Cricetulus griseus: one gene and its partner. The protein of the gene in region 1 purifies or fractionates together with the protein of each later gene. This does not show direct contact. Links are inferred from orthologs where the notes say so. Each region holds a gene or a part of one and is shown in the gene's direction. Other genes may lie near its edges.

Region 1 (9,392 bases):
TGTGTGTTTGGAGTCTACAGCTGCAATGTATTTTCAACAAACAAGGCAAAATTGAGCACACACTTATTTCTAAAACATGGAAATTGGGGACTGGGGAATGTCTCAAGAGAGTGAAGTGCTCTGTCAAAGCATGAGAACCTGAGATTGGCCCTTGGAACCCAAGTTAAAAAAAAACATGTCTCAAGAAATTTTAGAAAAAAAAAGAGGGTGGGTATGGCAGCACCTGCCTTTAATTCCAGCACTGAAGAGGCAGAAGGGAGGCTGTCTTTGATTTCGAAGTCATCTGGGTCTACATAGTGAGCTCTAGGCCAGCCAAGGCTACCACAGTGAGACCCTGTCTCAAGAGCCCCCCTCATCCCCCAGTGAAGATTGTCATTTTTATATTTTGGAGATTAGTGCAGTATTCAGCTTTTGTTTCTGGCCTACTAATTTTAATATAATAAAATAATTTCCATCAGAATTACTTCATATGGAAATATCTTCTCCTTTTTGTAAGTACTAGATTAGTGACTTAGTATTTTGTGGATAAAAAGGCGGGAGAAAAAGCTAAAGGCTGGGAGAAGACATCCTGGTACAGAGTAGCTCTTTGATAGGTTTCTTTAAGAGCTCTAGTAGGGTTAGAGCTAGTTCAATTCAGTTCAAATACAGAGCAAGCATGTTAATGATGCTGTTTGTTTACAGAGAATAAGAGAGTGGACTAGCTAAAAAAAAAAAAAAAAACTCTTACCATTTCTCTGAATAATTGCTCTTGAACCTTTGTGAGGGAGATGTGGTAGGAAGAGAACTGGAGCTTTTGTAAGTAGCTGGGGAAAAGTAATAAGGAGAGGTAGATTCTGTGGTCTCAGGTACCAACCTGATTAGTAGCTTGGAAGGCAGTTGATGCAGATAAATTTCCTTGTTGGTAAGGTAGTCATTTTATGTCTGTGATCCATACTTTTTTCATTTTTGCTTTAGTAAAAACATTAAAACTACCATTAACATTGTGTTTTTTTAAAAAAAATTGTTTCACTGCTTGGCATTGGAACAATTGGCTTGTATTCTATTCTCAAAGATTCTAGGGAGCTGGAGAGATGGCTCAGAGGTTAACAGCACTAACTGCTCTTCCAGATATCCTGAGTTCAAATCCCAGCAACCACATGGTGGCTCACAACCATCTATAATGAGATCTGGTGCCCCCTTCTGGCCTGCAGGCATACATGTAGGCAGAACATTGTATGCATAATAAATTAAAAAAAAATCTTAAAAAATTAAAAAAAAATACTCTAGTCCATGGGCTGGAACTGTTGGTAAGAATACATGTGTAAAATACAACCCTGTGATGTTATTTTTTGAGGCAGCCTGATGTTGTAGGTAGGCCTCAGACTCACTATGTAGTTGAGGATGACTTTTAACTGATTGTCCTTCTTTTACTTCCCCAGTGCTGGGGTCACAGGTGTGTGCTGGTGCCTTGGTTTATGCAGGGTTTTTTTTTGGAGGGGGTGTGAACCCTATACTTTATATGTACTGGCCTTGTTTTTTACTTTTATAAATAAAATTTCCATTATTGTATACATTTGTGGAGCCATCAAGTCCGTCCAGTCCTGTGTATTTTAAGGAAAGAGTTAAAAATTTTGAACTGTGGTGCATCTCTGACCCAGCAGAAAGCTGAGCAGGAAAATTACAAATTCAGGACTATATTGGTTGCAATGAAGGAGGCCAAGGCCAAAAAAACAGAAGATTCTGAAATTAAGCTAAATAAAAGTTAATTTTTCACTCTTGTGTGTTCTTTAGTAGGCACATGAGAAATCACCTTGTTATGATTAATGAGCAGCATGAGGTAACTTTGGATTGACCATGGTCTTTGAATCAGTGATTTTGGCAAACACCATAAAATAGAATGAACTACAGAACCTAAATTAGTTTGTAGAAGATAATGTTAGGTCTGGGATTTATTCCCATCCTTTAAGTTTGGCTCTCTGTTTTGTTTTAAATAGCTATGCCTGATAAAATGAAAGGTCTAACTTAAACTTGAAAAAAATGAGGTTACCTTTTCCCACACAGATTTATTTATAGTTCCCCAGTAAAGAGGTCTTTGGAAAGAGTCACTCTAGAAGGATAGTCCTCAGATAAAGACCTTCCAATTGTTTAAATGCTCTTGCAAGTCATAGGCGAATTGGGATAATTGGTGATGTCAGTATCGTTAGTGCAGGTTCTGATATTTCTAAATTATTTAATGCTTTTTTTTTTTTTTTAAGGCTGCTGTTATGTTTGCTATGCCTTCAGTCCCAACACTTGGGAAACTGAAGCAGGAGGAGAGGGGAAGCCAATCTGAGTTACATTTAACAAACAAAAGAGCTGGGAATGGGAGGCAGAGGCAGGTGAATCTCTGTGAGATCGAAGCCAACCTGGTCTACGTAAGGAATTCCAGACCAGCCAGGACTGTATACTGAGACCCTGTCTAAAAAAGTAAAACGAATGCATGCACACAGAAAGAAACTGATTGTTAGTAAAGGCAGCATGCTCTGTGTATTGTTTCTTATCCAGGTGCACTTTAAGGATGTGCTGGAGGAAGTAAGCGTCCACTAGGGTGCTTGTTTACAGTTTAACTGTACTGGCAATCATTAGTAACACTGACAGCCCTTTAATTATGAGGCATAGTTGACGGTTCAAACATTTGCTGTTAGGAAGAGGGAACGAGTGCATAAAATGTGGTGACTCCTACCCATTTATGTTGGAGTTACTAGGAACTCTTGCCTGGGTATCAAGGAAGATTAGACAAGCAGTAATGTGCTGTTTGGTAAATGCAAGCAGGGCTGAAAGACAACTCAGATTGATGGCTAGACAGAAAGGGAGACTGGATATGCTTGTGTTCCACCTTTAGTTCCAGCAATAGGGAAACAAGAGGGATCTTTAGAGTTCAAGTACTAGCAAGACTATATGGAGACCCTGTCACATCACCAAAAGGAAGAAGTGGGGAAGGGTATTTCATCACATGCCCATAATCCTAGAATTTGGGAGATGGAATTGGGAAGGATCAGAAATTCAAGTTCATCCTCAAGTTCAAGGCCAGCTTAGACTACATGAGACCTTAAAGAAAAGAGGATACTTAAAATAGTTAGCCGGGCTCATGCCTTTAATCCCAGCACTCAGGAGGCAGAGGCAGGCTGATCTCTGAGTTTGAGGCCAGCCTGGTCTGTCTACAGAGCAAGTTCCAGGACAGGTTCCAAAGCTGCAGAGAAACCCTGTCTTGAAAAAACCGGAGGGAAAAAAAGGGGGAAAAAAAAAAGGTACACAAAGCCAGGTGGTGGTGGCACGTGTCTCTAATCCCAGAACCTGGGAGGCAGAGGCAGGCAGCTGTCTGTGAGTTCAAGGCTAGCCTGTAGCTAAGACTACACAGAGAAACCTCAGAAAAAAACAAAAGAATAAGCTTAAGTGATATGTTAATTCAGTTAAGCCTGCCTGCCCTGGCTAATATTTCCAGTTCATTTGTATTAGGATGTTCGTCCCTGAGAACATACCAGTTTAATGTAAAAAGTCATTTCTTTTCAGGATTGGCCGTTTGATGATGGAGCTCCACCCCCTAATCAAATAGTAGATGATTGGCTAAACCTGTTAAAAACCAAATTTCGTGAAGAGCCAGGTTGCTGTGTTGCAGTGCATTGTGTGGCAGGATTGGGAAGGTAAAAACTCTTTAACTCTTAAAAATTCATTATTGTATCTAAGTAAGCCAACGGAAAGTTTCACCTTGATAGAATTTGCATTTAGTAACTAAATGATACTAAATTGTTGGAAAGGAAATGAGCAAATGCCAGTGTAATAAGCTGTCTTAAGAGCCAATTGTGGGGCTGGAGAGATGGCTTAGAGGTTAAGAGCACCGACTGCTCTTCCAGAGTTCCTGAGTTCAATTTCCAGCAACCACATGGTGGCTCACAACCAACCATTATGAGATCTGGTGCCCTCTTCTGGTGTGCAGATACACATGGAAGCAGAATGTTGTATACATAATAAATGAATAAAATCTTTAAAAAAAAAAAAAAAGAGCCAATTGTGTTGGGTCTGGATCTGATTCTAATGCTATACTGCATGTAGTGAGGGTCCCTGCCCTATTTCAAGAAATAAAGATTTAGGTTGTTAAGTGGGCAGCAAAATTTACATTAGAGATTAGAGTACTTGTATATATGGTTGGGTCAAAATGAAAGGGGATTTAACAGAAGGTTAGTTTACACTCTTGAGCAGTGATGTATGGATAGTGAGAATTGACTAATTTTATCATCTTTTTTTTTTTTTTCTTGCCAAGTATTGCTTGAGATAGTGTTTTAACACTTTGATCAACAGAAGGTTAAATGCCAATTTATGATGTGCACTGTGACTCAGAACTGTGAGGTACCATTGCCTTCAAGGTGGTGGTGACGTGGACCATTAGCTTGCTTAGGACTTAGTATGGCAAGGTTTCTTCAAGAGGTTCAAAGTTTCCTTCCTTCCCTTGAAGACTAAAGGTGGTGTGAGGCTTTACTAGGTGTCTTTATTTCTACAGCTTGTCTCAGGTAGTCAGAGATGGTGTCCTATTAATGTGCTTTCTGAGACATCTTTCTTGGGGCCGGGGTGGGGAGTGCAGGAGGGAATAGAGAAGCTGAGTATGGTGGTGCTGGGAGGGAGAGGCAAGGATGCCTGTGGAGTGTGAGTGAGTGTGAGGCCAGCCTGGTCTGCACAGTGAAACCTTGTCTCAGAAGAAAAGAAACTACCAAGTTGGAGGGGAGAAAAACTTGAGTTTTTTTTTTGTTTGTTTGTTTGTTTGTTTTTTTTCTCATTCCTTATTTGTAAATTGTTTTGGAGACAGAGTCTCCTTTTTTATAGTCCTGGCTGCCCTAAAACTCACTGTGTTGACCAGGCTGTCCTTAACTCACAGAGATCTGCTTGTCTTCCAAATGCTAGGATTAAAGACCTGTGTTAGCACTCCAGCACAAAGGTCATATTGGTAGCGTGTAAGCTTTCAGTTAAAAACCTCTTATAGACTCTCACGGCTGTGGGTACTTACGATGGCCTTCTCTCTGCAGGGCTCCTGTGCTGGTTGCACTTGCGTTGATTGAATGTGGAATGAAGTATGAAGATGCTGTTCAGTTTATAAGACAGTAAGTATGAAGTTGTATGTTCAGAGACCCCAAGTGGGGCTATGCATGAGGAAGAAGTTATGTAAAAGAGTTATTTGGAATAAGTAAGAACTGGATGGTTTGGGCTTAAAATAGTTTTTGAAAATAGAGAAAAAGGTAAAGGCAAGTGACAGAGAGTACCAGAAGTTTGTAAGATTTGTTCTTCTAATATAGATGTCAAATTTGGGCAAGAAAGTATATGGTTGGCTGTCTAGGAATCTTGACAATAAGTCGATTGACCAGTGCTGCTTTCAGTGGATTCCATATGACCAGCAGGCAAAAAGGAGGAGGAACAGATTAATCACATGGTCCTCTTTTCTTTTTTCTTTTTTTCTTTTTTTTTAAATTTCATGTGCATATATTTGTGAGGATGCCAGATCCCCTGGTACTGGAGCTAGAGATGGTATGAGCTGCCATGTGGGTGCTGGGAATTAAACCTAGGACCTCTGGAAGAACAGTGAGTGCTCTTAGCCAATGAACCATCTCTCCAGCTCCCATTTGGTACTCTTGAATGACCTGTTCTCATTAAAAATTACAATGGTAGTAACCTGAGATCTCTGACACTGTAGGCCATACTGTTCCTTTCTTTAACAAAATTAAGAGGAAAAAGCAGACTGACAGGAGACGTGCAATGTATGGCTCTCAGCTCTGAGACAGTGGTATCCCACTGTTTGCCACCCCAGTCTGTCCGGACCATGAGGCTTTGCCTTCCTATGTTCTAGTTTTAGTTTTTAAAACCATACTAACTACTTGTTTCTCATTCTGATGTGAAGAATCTGTTAAACTAATTGGAAAGAGTGTAGTCAGGTGTTCTTGATTAAACCCTGCTGCTCTGTTTAAATGAACTACAGTCATAGCCAAAGAAACATATTCTTAGCCAGGTGGTGGTAACACATGCCTTTAATTTAACCAAACTTGGATGGCAGAGGCCAGGAGATCTCTGAATTTGAGGCTAGCCTGGTCTACAGAATAACTTCCAGGACAACCAGGACTACACAGACAGGGGGTGGGGGCACCCAAGTTCATGTCCCAACTTTTTTTTTTCCTCCCGGAGACAGGGTTTCTCTGTGGCTTTGGAGGCTGTCCTGGAACTCATTCTATAGACCAGGCTGGCTTCGAACTCACAGAGATCCGACTGCCTCTGCCTCCCATGTGCTAGGATTAAAGGCTGGCAATGTCTCAACTTTTTAAAGTGATGTGTTATGGGGAATATGCAGGTTTTCATCTGGGAAGAGCTAGCTAGAAGGCATTATGCCGTAAGTAAATAGTATATTTCAGTAAGGCCTGCAGTTCTTTGCTACATGATAATGTACCATTATTGTATTTTCAGAAAAAGAAGGGGAGCATTCAATTCCAAACAGCTGCTTTACTTGGAGAAATACCGACCTAAGATGCGATTACGCTTCAGAGATACCAATGGGCATTGCTGTGTTCAGTAGAAGTAGAGAAATGCTGACTGGATCGTGGCGTTAGAGGGAACTCTTGGTACCTGGAAATGTGAATCTGGAATCTTACCTGTGTCATCAAAGTAGTGATGGATTCAGTACTCCTCAACTCCTAATGATTGAGAAGAGAGCAAACGATAAAGAAATCCCTCTATAACACGAATAAAATGTTTAAGAAAAGAAAAAAGAAAGGAAAAGGGATTAATTTAGTGAAAGATGATTTTGCTCCTAGTTTCGGAGTTTTGATTTCTGCCAGGATTGAATTATTTCAAAATATCCTGTGTTTTTAAAACTGTTTTCAAAATAGATGTCTGAGGAAAACCAGCAGAATATTAACCAGTGTGGAGCCAGTTGTTGGGGAGAACACACTTCCATTATGCTTGGCACATAGGTCTCCTTGTGGTGGGATTTGGAGGAGGTAGATTTTCCCCATCTTCTCTCTTTCTTCCTGCGCCCCCCCCCCAATACATGTAGATGGAGTAGAAAGAAGAAGCCCTTGTTGCAGTAGATGTGCGTGTGTCTGACAGCCTTAAGCCCACCTGGGCACTTTTAGGAAAACAATAAAAAACACCAAAAAAAAAAAAAAAAAAAGCAAGCAAAGAAAAGGCAGTACACGTTGTATGATCTAGGTGATTTTTAGTCTATTGATGGTGGGTGTTCACCTTAGTTTTCTTTTCCTCACAGCCTTGGCCTGATGTTAGGTGTGAAAGGTAGCCAGGAGCCTTTTGTTTTGGTAAATAGATAGGAAATGACATCGTAAAGAGGGTCTGTCTCCTGGAACTTAGCTGAGAGTAGAATCCTTTTTCCCAACAGTGGAACAAGTGGGCATCCCAGAAACTATTGAAGAGAGGACTTACAGGCCATCAATAGTGTGTCTAGGAGAGTTAACATATTTCCACAACTGTAGAATTGTGGGCTGTTGATTTGCTATCTGACAGTGTCATGGAAAAGCAATATCTTAACATTTTAGGACTGATTTCAGAAATAGAAGAGCAACAGAATATTCACAGTATTTTGGTCTTGAGAAATGTCTGTGGTGGTGATTTTCCAAATTACTCTCTGTATGTTAGTGTAGCCACCTTTACCATGTTATTCTTCTGAGATTAAAAAGGAAAAAAAAATCATTGTCAAAATCAGCAATGTCTAGTGAGTGTGTATGCACAGGCTGTAACAGGCAATGGCAAGCAATAAAGTGATTAGCAAAGGGGACTAAGCTCATGGCATCATGTGGTAAGCATTTTTTGGGTTCTCTGTTAAATGTGCTGATACAGAAAAGCTGTTTCTTCCTTATTTGCAGAAGACAGTTGACCAGGCTGCAATGACAAAGCAAGTGGAAAGGCGTATCCAGGGACTCGGGCACCCTCGTCACCTAAATGTTCCATACTTGACAGTGCCCTGCTACCCCAGCCCTGACTGTAGGCCTAGAATTATCTTGCCCTAGTGGAAATTTATTGTGCAGAGCCATAAGCTTCCTGTTTTGTTAGTATCGGCTAGGCCAATAGGATGGACAGCATCTCATTGATGATACCTCAGACGCTGGCAGCTTTGTGAGCTGCCTTTACTGTTGCTGGAATCGCTCTACTTTTAACTACATTCGAATCTGGAGTCCTTCCTGCCTTATCCCAGAAAATGAAAAATAATGCTTTTTTGATGTTGTTTCTAGAATTTTAAAGTAAAAAAGTGATGATACAATCCAAAGTTCTCTTATTCCAGAACATGACAATAGATTGCTTTAACATAGACTCAAGATCAGAATATCCTACCCTCTAAATTTAGATTAACTGTTGACTCCAGGGGTTTGGTCAATGCCAGCAAAACTTTTTCCACTTGACATGCTCAGAATCTTTGTGTGTGCATGTGTGCTCCTGTGTGGGTGTGTGCATGCAGGTGTCCATCAGCATCAGTCCTGCCTGTGTAGAATTACACTCCTGCTTCTGTGAGGAGGAGGAAGGGTGGATAGAGCAACAGAAAACAGCCCTCATTTTGTTTTAAATAAGACTAATGTTGTTCTCACAACTGGACTCCTTTTTTTTTTTTTTTTTCCCCTCAAAATTAAAGCTTTTTTCTTTTGAATTTAATGAAGTATTGCTAGCGGAAGCCAGTTTGGCATGGTGAGAGATGTCAGACTCTTGAAAGGTGTGAAGCCTGATTTAAAACCAAACCCTGAACCCTTTTAAAGAACAATAAAGCATATTTTACATGCTCTTTGTGCATTTTTTTTCCCCATCTCCAAATTGAGTTTATGTTCGATCTCCTTTCTCTAGTAGTCTCAAGGCCTGGTTTGTATCCTGATATGTACTTCCAGGAGGTGAAGAGGCTCAGTTAAGATGTGCCTGACCGCCAGGCATTGGTGGCACACACCTTTAATCCCAGCACTCAGGAGGCAGAGGCAGGCGTATCTCTGTGAGTTCGAGGCCAGCCTGGTCTCCAGCTCGAGTGCCAGGATAGGCTCCAAAGCTACACACAGAAACCCTGTCTTGAAAAACCAAAAAAAAAAAAAAAAAAAAAAGATGTGCCTGACCTTACAGATAATACATTTTCTGGTTCAATGAACCTTGGGCTCAACAGTATAGGAATTCATTTGTTTACATCATAGGTTTGGGTAAAGCATTACAGTTTCCTTTAAACTCTTAAAGTGGAGAATTCGCTGCTTTGTGTATCATAGAATTTCTCTTTAATCACTGGTAAGCTAGATAAGATGCCAAGGTACAAAGAATTTAAAAAATGAAACCTACTTTAGAGGACTTCAGTCTTAAGGAAACAGAGTTATAGTGGGGTGGAAGCTGGTTGTGGTGCTAAGTTATGTCTGTAATGTAAGCAC
Region 2 (10,395 bases), on another chromosome or scaffold:
CCCCCAAGGAGAATACCATGCCAGGTGCCTAAGGGACCTTTGAAACCTACTTACCCAACTAATACTGACTGTCTTTTGGCTTTGTGGCTGGCAATTCCTGCCTGGGACACATCCTTTCTTTGGTCTGGCCCTCTAACCTGATGTTTTCACTTTATTCTCTGACTCAATGAAGTCAGAAATCATGACACTCTCTATACCTAGATTCCCATGCCCTCACTTGCTGTGATGATTTGAGTTGGGATTTCAGGTCATTTTGTCCCCATATACAGGGAGAAAGGTCCCTTCCCTCCTGAGACAATACAGTGATTTGGACATGTCCTACAAATAACAAGAACATATGTAGGCTTAGGCATAGCCTAAAGTGCTATGCCTAACAAGAACATATATAGTGCATAGGCTGCTATATGTGCTGATGATAAATGCCCCATTGCCCCAAACGGGCTTTCCACACCAGGGTCCATGATATAGCCTAGCTGACTGCCAGCGTGGGTTCAGGACATGCTGTAGACTCTGGGCATCATTGCTTTTCTGCCTCCAGTTCCTTCATCTTGGGAACCTAGAAGGTGACGAGGCTATGAATCCATCTTGGTAAGGTTAGATCCTGGTTTGCCAGAGTCCTTCATCATTCAAACCCCAGCATTAGTGTGATGCCAGGAACAAGAAAAGGAGTGACACTCCTGGAGGTAGCTTCATTGCCTAGGACTAAAAAGAAGTGCTTGCAAATATGGGAGAGATAGACATACTGCCATAGGGTCTACACTCACAAGGGACCATCCAGGTCTGAGGAGCTCATGAATGGAGGGGTTTGAAATGCTCATCACTTAAGAAGGACCTTCATCAAACTCCTTACTTGCCAAAGGAGACAACTCAGATAAGTAAGGACTTGCCACCCCAAGGTGGAGACACAGGTGCCTTTCTCTGTCCCCAAAGAGAGAAGTTTCTCCATGCTCACAGTCATCCACATTTCCTGATGCTGTATGCTATAGATTCTTTTCTATATTACTCTTTGAGAAAGTATGGCAGATGCCCTACCTACAGGTGCAAACTGACAGCCACAACCACTAAATTGCAAGTCTGACCTCCTCTGATATCTCTTATATTACCATTTCTTTATTTAATTTGTGTGTGTGTGTGTGTGTGTGTGTGCGCGCGCGCGTGTGTGTGTGTGTGTGTGTGTGTGTGTGTGTGTGTGTGTGTGTATCTGAACTCGCCTATGAGTACATGAAGTTAAGAGGTCAATGTCAGTCATATTCTTCTACTATACTCCACCTTATTTTTTTGAGACAAGGTCTCTCACTTACTCTGGAGCTCACTGTGTTTTGGCCCAGGGATCCTCCAGTCGTCGACTCCCAGTGCTGGGATCACAGACAGCTTATTTAACAAGAGTGCAGAATATCAAACTCAGGTCCTCATGCTTAAAATGGCAAGCACTTTAATAACTGAGCCATCTCCCTGGGTCCCATCAAGAGTTTTTTTTTTGTTTTTTTTTGTTTTTTCAAGACAGGGTTTCTCTGTGTAGCTTTGGAGCCTATCCTGGCACTCGCTCTGGAGACTAGGCTGGCCTCGAACTCACAGAGATCCGCCTGCCTCTGCCTCCCGAGTGCTGGGATTAAAGGTGTGCGCCACCAACACCCGGCTGCGTTCATTTTTTATAGAGCAAGTTCTGTTTGCTCTGCCAGATCAAAGAGGAATTTCATTTCTTTTTAGATTTATTTAATTTTTGTGTATGACCTTTAATCCCAGCACTTGGGAGGTTTGGATATATTATTATTATTACTGGTGTTTTGAGACAAGTTTTCTTTGTTTAGTCCTGATGTCCTGGAACTTGCTCTGTAGACCAGGCTGGCCTTGAACTCACAAGAGATCTGCCTGCCTCTGCCTCCTGAGTGCTGGGATTAAAGGTGCATGCCATCACTGCCCAGCTCCAAATTTCATTTCTTTACTTCATGGACTCTACTCTTATTCTCCTAATCACTATGGGAATCCAATAGTGAGTTAACCTGATTTTAACAGACTGTGTGTTTCTTAGCAGACCCTTGCATTGTTCCTATCTTGCTTTCTTTATTCTGCTTCTTTACATCTACTTTTAACCCAGTAGTCAAGTGCTTATTTTTCTTTCCCTTTGTTGGCTTCTGTTTCTTATACTGAGTGCAGCGCTCAGTATAAGTGCAGCTTATACTTATACAGTGCTCGAGTGCACAGCCCCAAAAGAGCAAAATAAAAATAGTCAATTGGTCGATAATAGACTGGGAAAGTTTTAAGGACAGAAAGAGCGGCAGGGGCCAATGGACAACGGATGATGAGGAGGCCTGGGAGAAGATTTTTCAGGGACCTGGGGTGGCTTTCAAACAATTCAGGCCGCTCTTCCTGGTTGGAGGAGACAAAGAGGGGACAGGAAGTCTTGGCCAGTGCCCAACCTGAGGCTACTGTTCACTAAAAATCTAGTCTTCTGGACATACTGTATGTGCGAGGCCAGGCACCTCCTGACAAGGAACTTCCTCCAGCAGGCTGTTTACAGAACTAGGCCCTTGATGCCAGAGCATTAAATCCAGCTTCTGCTACCAGGTCTCCCCCACAGCACTGCATGAGTGCTCCCTTCTGTTTAGGCTTTTTGCTGCTGGTATTGATTGCTGCTTTTATTGGCAGACTGTGTACCAAAGTAAAAATAAACACGGGAGTTTGTACAGGGAGACAGTGAAGGGCTTTCTGTGTCTCCAGGGCCTGGGGAAGCCTTGCTGGGAGATTCAGGGGTCAGCCCAGTCCCTGCTGTTTGGTGTAGCTCTACAACTAAGATAAGGATGTTTGTCATCCCGTGTCCTGCCCTTTACAGGGCGGACAGCTGTGGGTGGATAGCTGTGGTCATCCTCACACACTCAAGTCATAGCTGCTGAATGACATCCAAGTAGGGTTGTCCAGGAAGCAGTGATCTCAAGGCTAGAACAGCAACCACACCTCTCAGTTAGTTTCCACATGCAGCTGCCTCAGCTGGCCAGTCACCACAATTTGGGGTTAAGGATATGGTTCTGAAAGAGCAGGCAGCAACAACTATTACTACATAGGCAAAGCCTATTCGCAGAGAGTTGTCCTGTCATGTTCAATGTGTAAGTCAATTGTTCCCACATACTTAGTCAGGTGGTGCTGTGTTATCATTATTTCTGCCATCAAAATAAAAACTAAAACTATAACTAAAAAATACAACCAATCCAGGCATGGTGGTGCACGCCTGTCAACCTGCACTTGGGAGGTAAAGGGAGGAGGATCAGGAGTCAGTCTCAGATTTTGAGAGTTCAAAGCTAGATCTATAATTGGGCTACATAAGACCTTGTTTCAAACAACAACAAGAAGAAAACCAAACAACTAATCATTCTTACTGTCGTTTTCACACATGAAATAGGATTAACGGTGGAGATCTGAAAGGTCTAGGATTTGTGCCTAGGTTCTTACAGATGCAAAATACTTTGTGTTGCCAGAAAGATTCAATAACTATTCTGTATGTGTTTATTTGCTTATTGCCTTTTTTCCGGTTTTAGGCTGTAAACTAAGGTGGGCAAGGATTTTGGCTCGTTCGTTGCTGTATCGTCAGAGCCTAAAACGATTGTCTGGCACACATTGGGTATTCAATGAAAACCCATCCCTAAATAGAAATGACAGGTGGTAAACCTAAGTTAGAGCCTGGCCCCTTTAGGCGCCTTTAGAGGTTGGGTAGAGAGCCCTTAGGAAGAGCGAGTGGTGGGCTGTGGGGTGCGGGGAGTTCGGGGGCAGTGACAACCTACTTCTGACCTCGGGTCCAGATCAGCAAAAACCCCACAAGTGAGGAGGTTGTAATGCCAGCCCGAGTTCTCAGGTTCCCTTTTCTTTTTCTAAATCAGGAAATGCATTTTCCTCCCTGTGCTCGCAGCGAAGCGCCACCCGACCCAGAGCCGAGCTACAGGGTGCAGAGGACCCGCAAGGAGCTGGGCGTTCGGGGCCTGGGAGCCGGGTTCCCTAAAGAGGAGCGCGGGAGAAGCCGGGCGCCTCGCGGACGCTTGGCTGGGCGCACCCCCGCCGCAGGCTCCCGCGTTCTCCTAGCGCCGTTCCACCTTAAGCGCGCAGACCTCCTTAAGCCGGGCGCGCGAGCGCGGGTAGGGGCGGGACCTCGCATGCAAATAAGGGGCGTGGGGCGGCGGGGCGGGGGCGGGGCGCGGCTGACGTCAGGCCCGCTGCTGGGGCAGTTGGCGCGGCGGCGGCGGAGCGGCAGGAGGGAGGAGCGGCGGCGCCGAGTGAGGCGCGCGGCGGGGCGCGGGCAGCGGCGGGGGCCGGAGCAACATGGCGCCGGGGGCGGGGGCGGGCGGCGGGACGGCTGGCCGGCCCGAGGGCGCCTCCTCCTGGCCGCGCTGCTGCTGCCGCTATGGATGCGGGCGGCCAGCGGCCAGAGCAGCCCCCCGCAGAGCGTGATCCTGGGCATGAGGCTGGCGAGCTGCAACAAGTCGTGCGGGATGAACTCGGATGGCATCATCTTCGTGTCAGAGGGCAGCACGGTAAACTTGAGGCTCTACGGCCACAGCCTGGGGGCGATCTCCAGCAACCTGATCTCCTTTACTGAGGTGGACGACGCCGAGACGGTCCACAACTCCACCAACTGCCTGGAGCTCACCAAGGACTTAGTGGTCCAGCGGCTGGTCAACGTGAGCCGCGGGAACACGTCGGGGATGCTAGTGGTGCTCACCAAGTTCCTGCGGAGGAGCGAGAACATGAAGCTGTACGCACTGTGCACCCGGGCCCGGTCTGACGGGCCCTGGCTCAAATGGACGGACAAGGACTCCCTGCTCTTCATGGTGGAGGAGCATGGGAGGTTTCTGCCGCTGTGGCTGCACATCCTTCTCGTTTTGGTGCTCTTAGTGCTGTCGGGCATATTTTCTGGCCTCAACCTGGGGCTTATGGCCCTGGACCCGATGGAGCTACGCATCGTGCAGAACTGTGGAACTGAAAAGGAGAGAAGGTACGCCCGCAAGATAGAGCCCATCCGGCGCAAGGGCAACTACTTGCTCTGCTCGCTGCTCCTAGGGAATGTGCTAGTCAACACCTCCCTCACCATCCTTTTAGACAACCTCATCGGGTCTGGCATCATGGCAGTGGCCTCCTCCACCATTGGCATTGTCATCTTTGGGGAGATCTTACCTCAAGCCCTGTGCTCCCGACATGGGCTGGCTGTGGGTGCCAACACTATTGTTCTCACCAAAATCTTTATGCTGATCACCTTTCCTCTGAGTTTCCCCATTAGCAAACTCCTGGACTTCGTCTTGGGTCAGGAGATTCGCACTGTTTACAATCGGGAGAAGCTGATGGAGATGCTGAAGGTGACAGAACCCTATAACGACCTAGTGAAGGAGGAATTAAATATGATCCAGGGTGCCCTGGAACTAAGGACCAAAACTGTGGAGGATATCATGACCCAGCTCCACGACTGCTTCATGATCCGCAGTGATGCCATCCTGGACTTCAACACCATGTCGGAGATAATGGAAAGTGGCTATACTCGCATTCCCGTGTTTGAAGATGAGCAATCCAATATCGTAGATATCCTTTATGTCAAAGACTTGGCCTTCGTGGACCCTGATGACTGCACCCCGCTCAAGACTATCACTCGCTTCTACAACCACCCGGTTCATTTTGTTTTCCATGACACCAAGCTGGATGCCATGCTGGAGGAATTCAAGAAGGGTAAGGACCAGTGTAATTCCTGGTTAAATGTCCTTTCGACACCTCTTGATCCCCCTGAAGCGTCCCCTGCATGTTCTGTGTCTGCTGATTTTACTCTTATTTGTGTGATTGGTTCTGTGTCCCTTCGTCCATCACTTCCTGTGCCTCTGAGGCGAATGTTACCAGGTGCAGCAGAAACAGTTCTCAAGCCTTTGCCGTCTGCCAGGTACTGTGCTTTGTGTTTTTAGTTGAATGGAAAAGAGACACATTTGTCTGGAGCTGGGGGAGGGATACACAGTAAGGCTCATGTCTGTAAAGAGGCAAACACCAGGCCTCTTGGAGATTTAGAGGGTGAGGAGGGGAAGTAGTTAGACAGCTGAGGATGTCACAGGGAAGGAAACATTTGAGAGGACTCTTAAAAGATGAAGTGGCTTGATCTTAGCTCAGACCCCTCTTGTGAGGAAGCCAAAGATGTGCTTGTGGCTCAGCAGGTGGTCCTGTCTAGTGGACCTCCTCCTGGCTCTGCTTGTCAGTGACCACCAGGGGAGCACACCTCTTCCCAGTTTGTTCCCAGGTTGGAGCTCTGGAAGATCTGGGGGCAGGGGCGTACCGTCAGTCGCCCTCCAACCCACAGAAGCATTATTGGGAGGTCTCTCCTTGGCTTCCAGACTCAGAACAATGCCAAGTAGTAGTTTCCACTGTTTGGCAGAAGCATGGAGACCAACCTTGGGTTATTGTTCCACATAAACTTGCCCCACCACCAATCTTGAGCTGGCCTTGCACTGCTCGGGTGTGTGTGTGTGTGTGTGTGTGTGTGTGTGTGTGTGTGTGTGTGTGTGTGTGTGTGTGTGTGTGTGTGTGGTGTGTGTGTGTGTGTGTGTGTGTGTGTGTGTGTGTGTGTGTGTGTGTGTGTGTGTGTGTGTGTGTGTGTGTGTGTGTGTGTGTGTGCTAAGGTGTGCTTGGCTGGTTCCCAGGTAGAGGGTTTAGGGTTTACTACCCTGTCTCAAAGCTCAGGGCACACACCCCTTTCCTTATTCCCAACAAAGACTTCCTCCTCTTCTTCTATCCTGAAACCCTCAAAGTGTCTGTAAACAAGGTGATTACGGGGTAAAACCCTCGCAGGCTGAAGAAGGTGAGGCAGGGCAGAAAGGGCAACTCTTTAGAGAAGAACCTGGGGCTCATTTTGTAGGGACTTTTCTTCATAATCTTGGTCCCAACCTTCTTCCCATATGTAGAGCTGTTTCTGGCAAAGGCCCAAGCTAACCTGGGAACCACTTTTGAACCCTAGTTGTGTATAAGCCTGCGGTCATTTCTGAACTGGAAAGTGGTGGAAACAGTCTTGAAGTGGGATCAGGAGAAAAAGAGATGGTCTTGCCAGATTTGGTTTAAGACCAAAAGGTGTACTTGGGTCAGGCCAAAGGGTCAGGTTGGTACCCTCTCTTTTAAGTGTTCTAGACAGATCTCAGCATCAGAGCTAAGAATGTCTTGAGGGTTATAAACCAGGACAGGAGATAGTCTGGGTGGCATGGAAGGAGATTTGAGGGTACAGACCTAGGATCCTGTTTTGCCCAGGGTCAGAGTTGGGGCACAGGGGCAGTGGGGAGTGTGTCTTACCTCCATCTTACAGCTCCCTTCTCACCTGCCTCTGTGGTCTTTGAGGTGGTTACTGGTAGCGTATATACCCACCAGTACCTCTCAATCAGTGTGGTCAGATCTGGATGCAACTAGTATGGATTTGCTTAATTTGGTGTCCAGCTCCTGATCAGCAGGGCTGCTCTGTTCTGTGGGAGCATGCTGGGTCTGGACAGGGCATTTTTGGATGCTACTCTATCCTGTGAAGAAGTGAGCTAGAAAAAAAAAAAAAGAAGCTGGCATCTCTTTGACCAGAGCTCTTCTGGTCCCCCCCCCCCCCACTTTGATCCAGGACTTTCCGGAGTATGGATCCCAAGCAGTTCACAGAGAGGCAGGTGCACTCTACCCTGTGTATCAGGACACTGGAGATGTCAGTGTGATGGGGTGGCCACCCCTTGTGAACAGACCCTGGGCCTTGTGTGGCGCCTTCCTGGCCTTAGGAGACCAGTCTTAGTTCATACATTACCACAGAGGTGCCTTGTCATGTCCGTACCTCCCACTGTGTGGCCTCTCCTTGGTCTTTCCATCTGGTCCCTACTGCTAGCCTGAGGCTGCCTGTGATGTGGCAAACAAACCGAGTGTGCACTTAGAATATAAGCGTTTCCTTCCAAGTGTAGCGTCTGGAAGGCTTTTTGCTTTTGTTATTAAGAAGGAACAAGCGATCACTTCAGCACCACCAGTGTTATGCCAGACAGAGTGACATATTTTAGGGTCTTTGCTGGATCTTTCACCTCCAAATTGTGTGAAGGCACTGGACCCAACTCTGCTGGAAGCCTTCTGCCTAGCTGTAATTTTCTGTCTGTCTGTTTAGGTTTCTGTTTTGAGTCGGGGTCTTGCTTTGTAGCTAAGGTTGGACTTGCCTCTCAAGTGCTAGGATTGTAGGTGTGTGTCGCTAAGCCTGGACCAGGTTCTTTCATCTCCACTCCCCAGCTTTGTAAATTCGTTGAGTGTGGGACCGACTCTGCCTTATTGGTTTTCATCACTGAAAACACAGATGGGGCCTCAGCGAGCGTTAATTGAACAAATGAATGGATGATTGTCTGCCAGGTTTCTCAGGCTTTCCTGTTCTTGAACACACCTGGACACTCCCACTCCAGGGCTATTCTCCAAGAGAGCTAGAGAGGCTCCCTTTCCCCATCTTGCCTCTTCAGCACCACCTCCGTGAGACCTTGCTGGTGCCCCGTTTAGGCCTGTAGCCCCCACATCCCATCTGCCTTCCCAATCCTCCACCTTGTGCTACTTTTTCCTTTCCTCATAGCGCATCTCACTGCCAGCTCTGGTGCTCAGTGGTTTGCTGTGTTGTCTGTCTCCACCCAGTACAATATAAGATTCCAAAGGGCAGGCTCTCTGCCCTGATGATTGTATCGATAGCTCTGGAATGGCCCTTGGCACATAGTAAGGCCTAAATAAATCATTACCTAGTGAATGAATGACTTGTTGGATTTGGGAGACGGTTGTTCCTTTTCCAGAAGTTTTAGAATTTTGGATGGAGTGCTGTGGCACCTTCATCTGTACCAGGAAAAGCCAGGGGGTTCCTATGATAATGTCTTGATCCCAGGCATGACAGTTTGGGGCTCTGGGTGTGATGCTTGAGTCCCATTGCCAGTTGTCTCCCTTTTGCCTGCTGGTAAGCCATCTTTGGCCATGGGAGGTTTTACACAGCCTCCTCATTAAGATGAGTCATGAAATGCCCCTGCTCAGCAGGGTGTGGGGAGCTGAACTCCCCTAGGATTAAGGCAAAGAATTCTGTCTGCTTCCTACCTCAAGACAGTTAACATTAGATGCTTATCAACCTTCCAGCCACATTTAGGACAGGCTGAAGGTGCTTTAGGGACCTCAGGAGTAAGACTCTCTGTGGCATGAAGATATGCCAGTTAATCAAGGCCACCCAGATTCATGTAGTTTGAACCTTGGCCCTTCTACTGGAACCTCGCCTAGAACTGTTTGCAGTACTGGGTGTTGGGAGTGGGTTTGTCACAGCTTGGAATCCTGAAACAAGAGTACCCAGTGAAAGCTAGCCCAATGTACATTTCACGTCCACTTAGATGCTTTTGCAAGCGCCAAGACAGTCATGAATGATACCCCCCACACACCTTGAGCTCATCTTCCAGCTTTTGCTGTGCCCCTTCCTGGGGGTAGTCCTGCCCCTCCCAGGCATTTAGCTCATCTTTAACCATCTTATCTTTCCCCACCCACCCTATCACCCCCTAGACCACTGTATATCGAAGGACATGAACTCCACCCAGCCAAGGCTGGGGTTATGTTCTAGCCAGCTTGGTCACTGAACTATGAGGTGACCTTGAACCTGTTAGTACTCCTCTCAGCAAGTTTGTGGGGTGTAATTTAGAGGAGAAAGCAAGCTAGAAATATTTTCATTAAAAAAAAAAAAATCCCTCCCACATTTCCGTCTGTGCCACGTCAGATTTTCCCATCTACTTAACTATATTCCCAGAATAACTGTAAAGTCAAGGAAAAAAAAAAACAAAAACAAAACACTGCATGAGTTTTGCATTCACTCACTCTTGATTCCTGTCATCTGACACACCCCTTACCCCCAATACCAACTTGTTTATGCATTTTTTTAATAAACTTTTTGCAGCCTGTGTGTCAGACACAGTGCTGGCTGTTGGGAGTCAGAGATGTGTAAAAGCTGTCTATTCACAGGGCTCACAGTCTGCCAGGGAGACAGACATTCGATCAAGGCTTGGTTGTGCAAATGCAGAGATAGGGCAGGAGGGGACAAGGCTGAGTGGGATGAGTGTTGGAATGTTCGAGGAGGTGTCTTGCTTGTGATTTTGGATGGCTAATGTGATTTACCTATGGTAGGGAAAGGAGAAGGGGCAATCAGTTGGACGAGAATGGAGCAAAAGGAAATAAAAACAAGCCATCCAGACTTTTGACAGCATTTCTGCATTTCTTTTTAAAAGTTATTTCGTGTGTGTGTGTGTGTGTGTGTGTGTGTGTGTGTGTGTGTGTGTGTGTGTGTGTGTGTGATGCGCTAACTTTTAGGAGTCAGTTCTTTTGTTCTGCCAATGGCTTCCAGGAACCAAACAAGTGTTTTTACCCTGGGAGTCATCTCACTGG

The links.
Region 2: the proteins of Ptp4a2 (region 1) and Cnnm4 purify together in Homo sapiens (affinity purification with mass spectrometry; 6 studies listed by BioGRID and IntAct, counting the BioPlex papers as one, with this or other methods). This does not show direct contact. The link is inferred for Cricetulus griseus from reciprocal best matches to the Homo sapiens genes PTP4A2 and CNNM4.

What each region holds. Positions count from the first base shown.
Region 1 is NC_048595.1:23,179,567-23,188,958, reverse strand, and holds the end of Ptp4a2 (protein tyrosine phosphatase type IVA 2), read left to right. Parts: intron 1-3,528; coding exon 3,529-3,659; intron 3,660-5,033; coding exon 5,034-5,108; intron 5,109-6,456; coding exon 6,457-6,565; 3' UTR 6,566-8,773; downstream 8,774-9,392.
Region 2 is NW_023276807.1:11,721,964-11,732,358, reverse strand, and holds the start of Cnnm4 (metal transporter CNNM4), read left to right. Parts: upstream 1-3,872; coding exon 3,873-5,700; intron 5,701-10,395. UniProt on the Homo sapiens protein: Probable metal transporter. The interaction with the metal ion chaperone COX11 suggests that it may play a role in sensory neuron functions. May play a role in biomineralization and retinal function.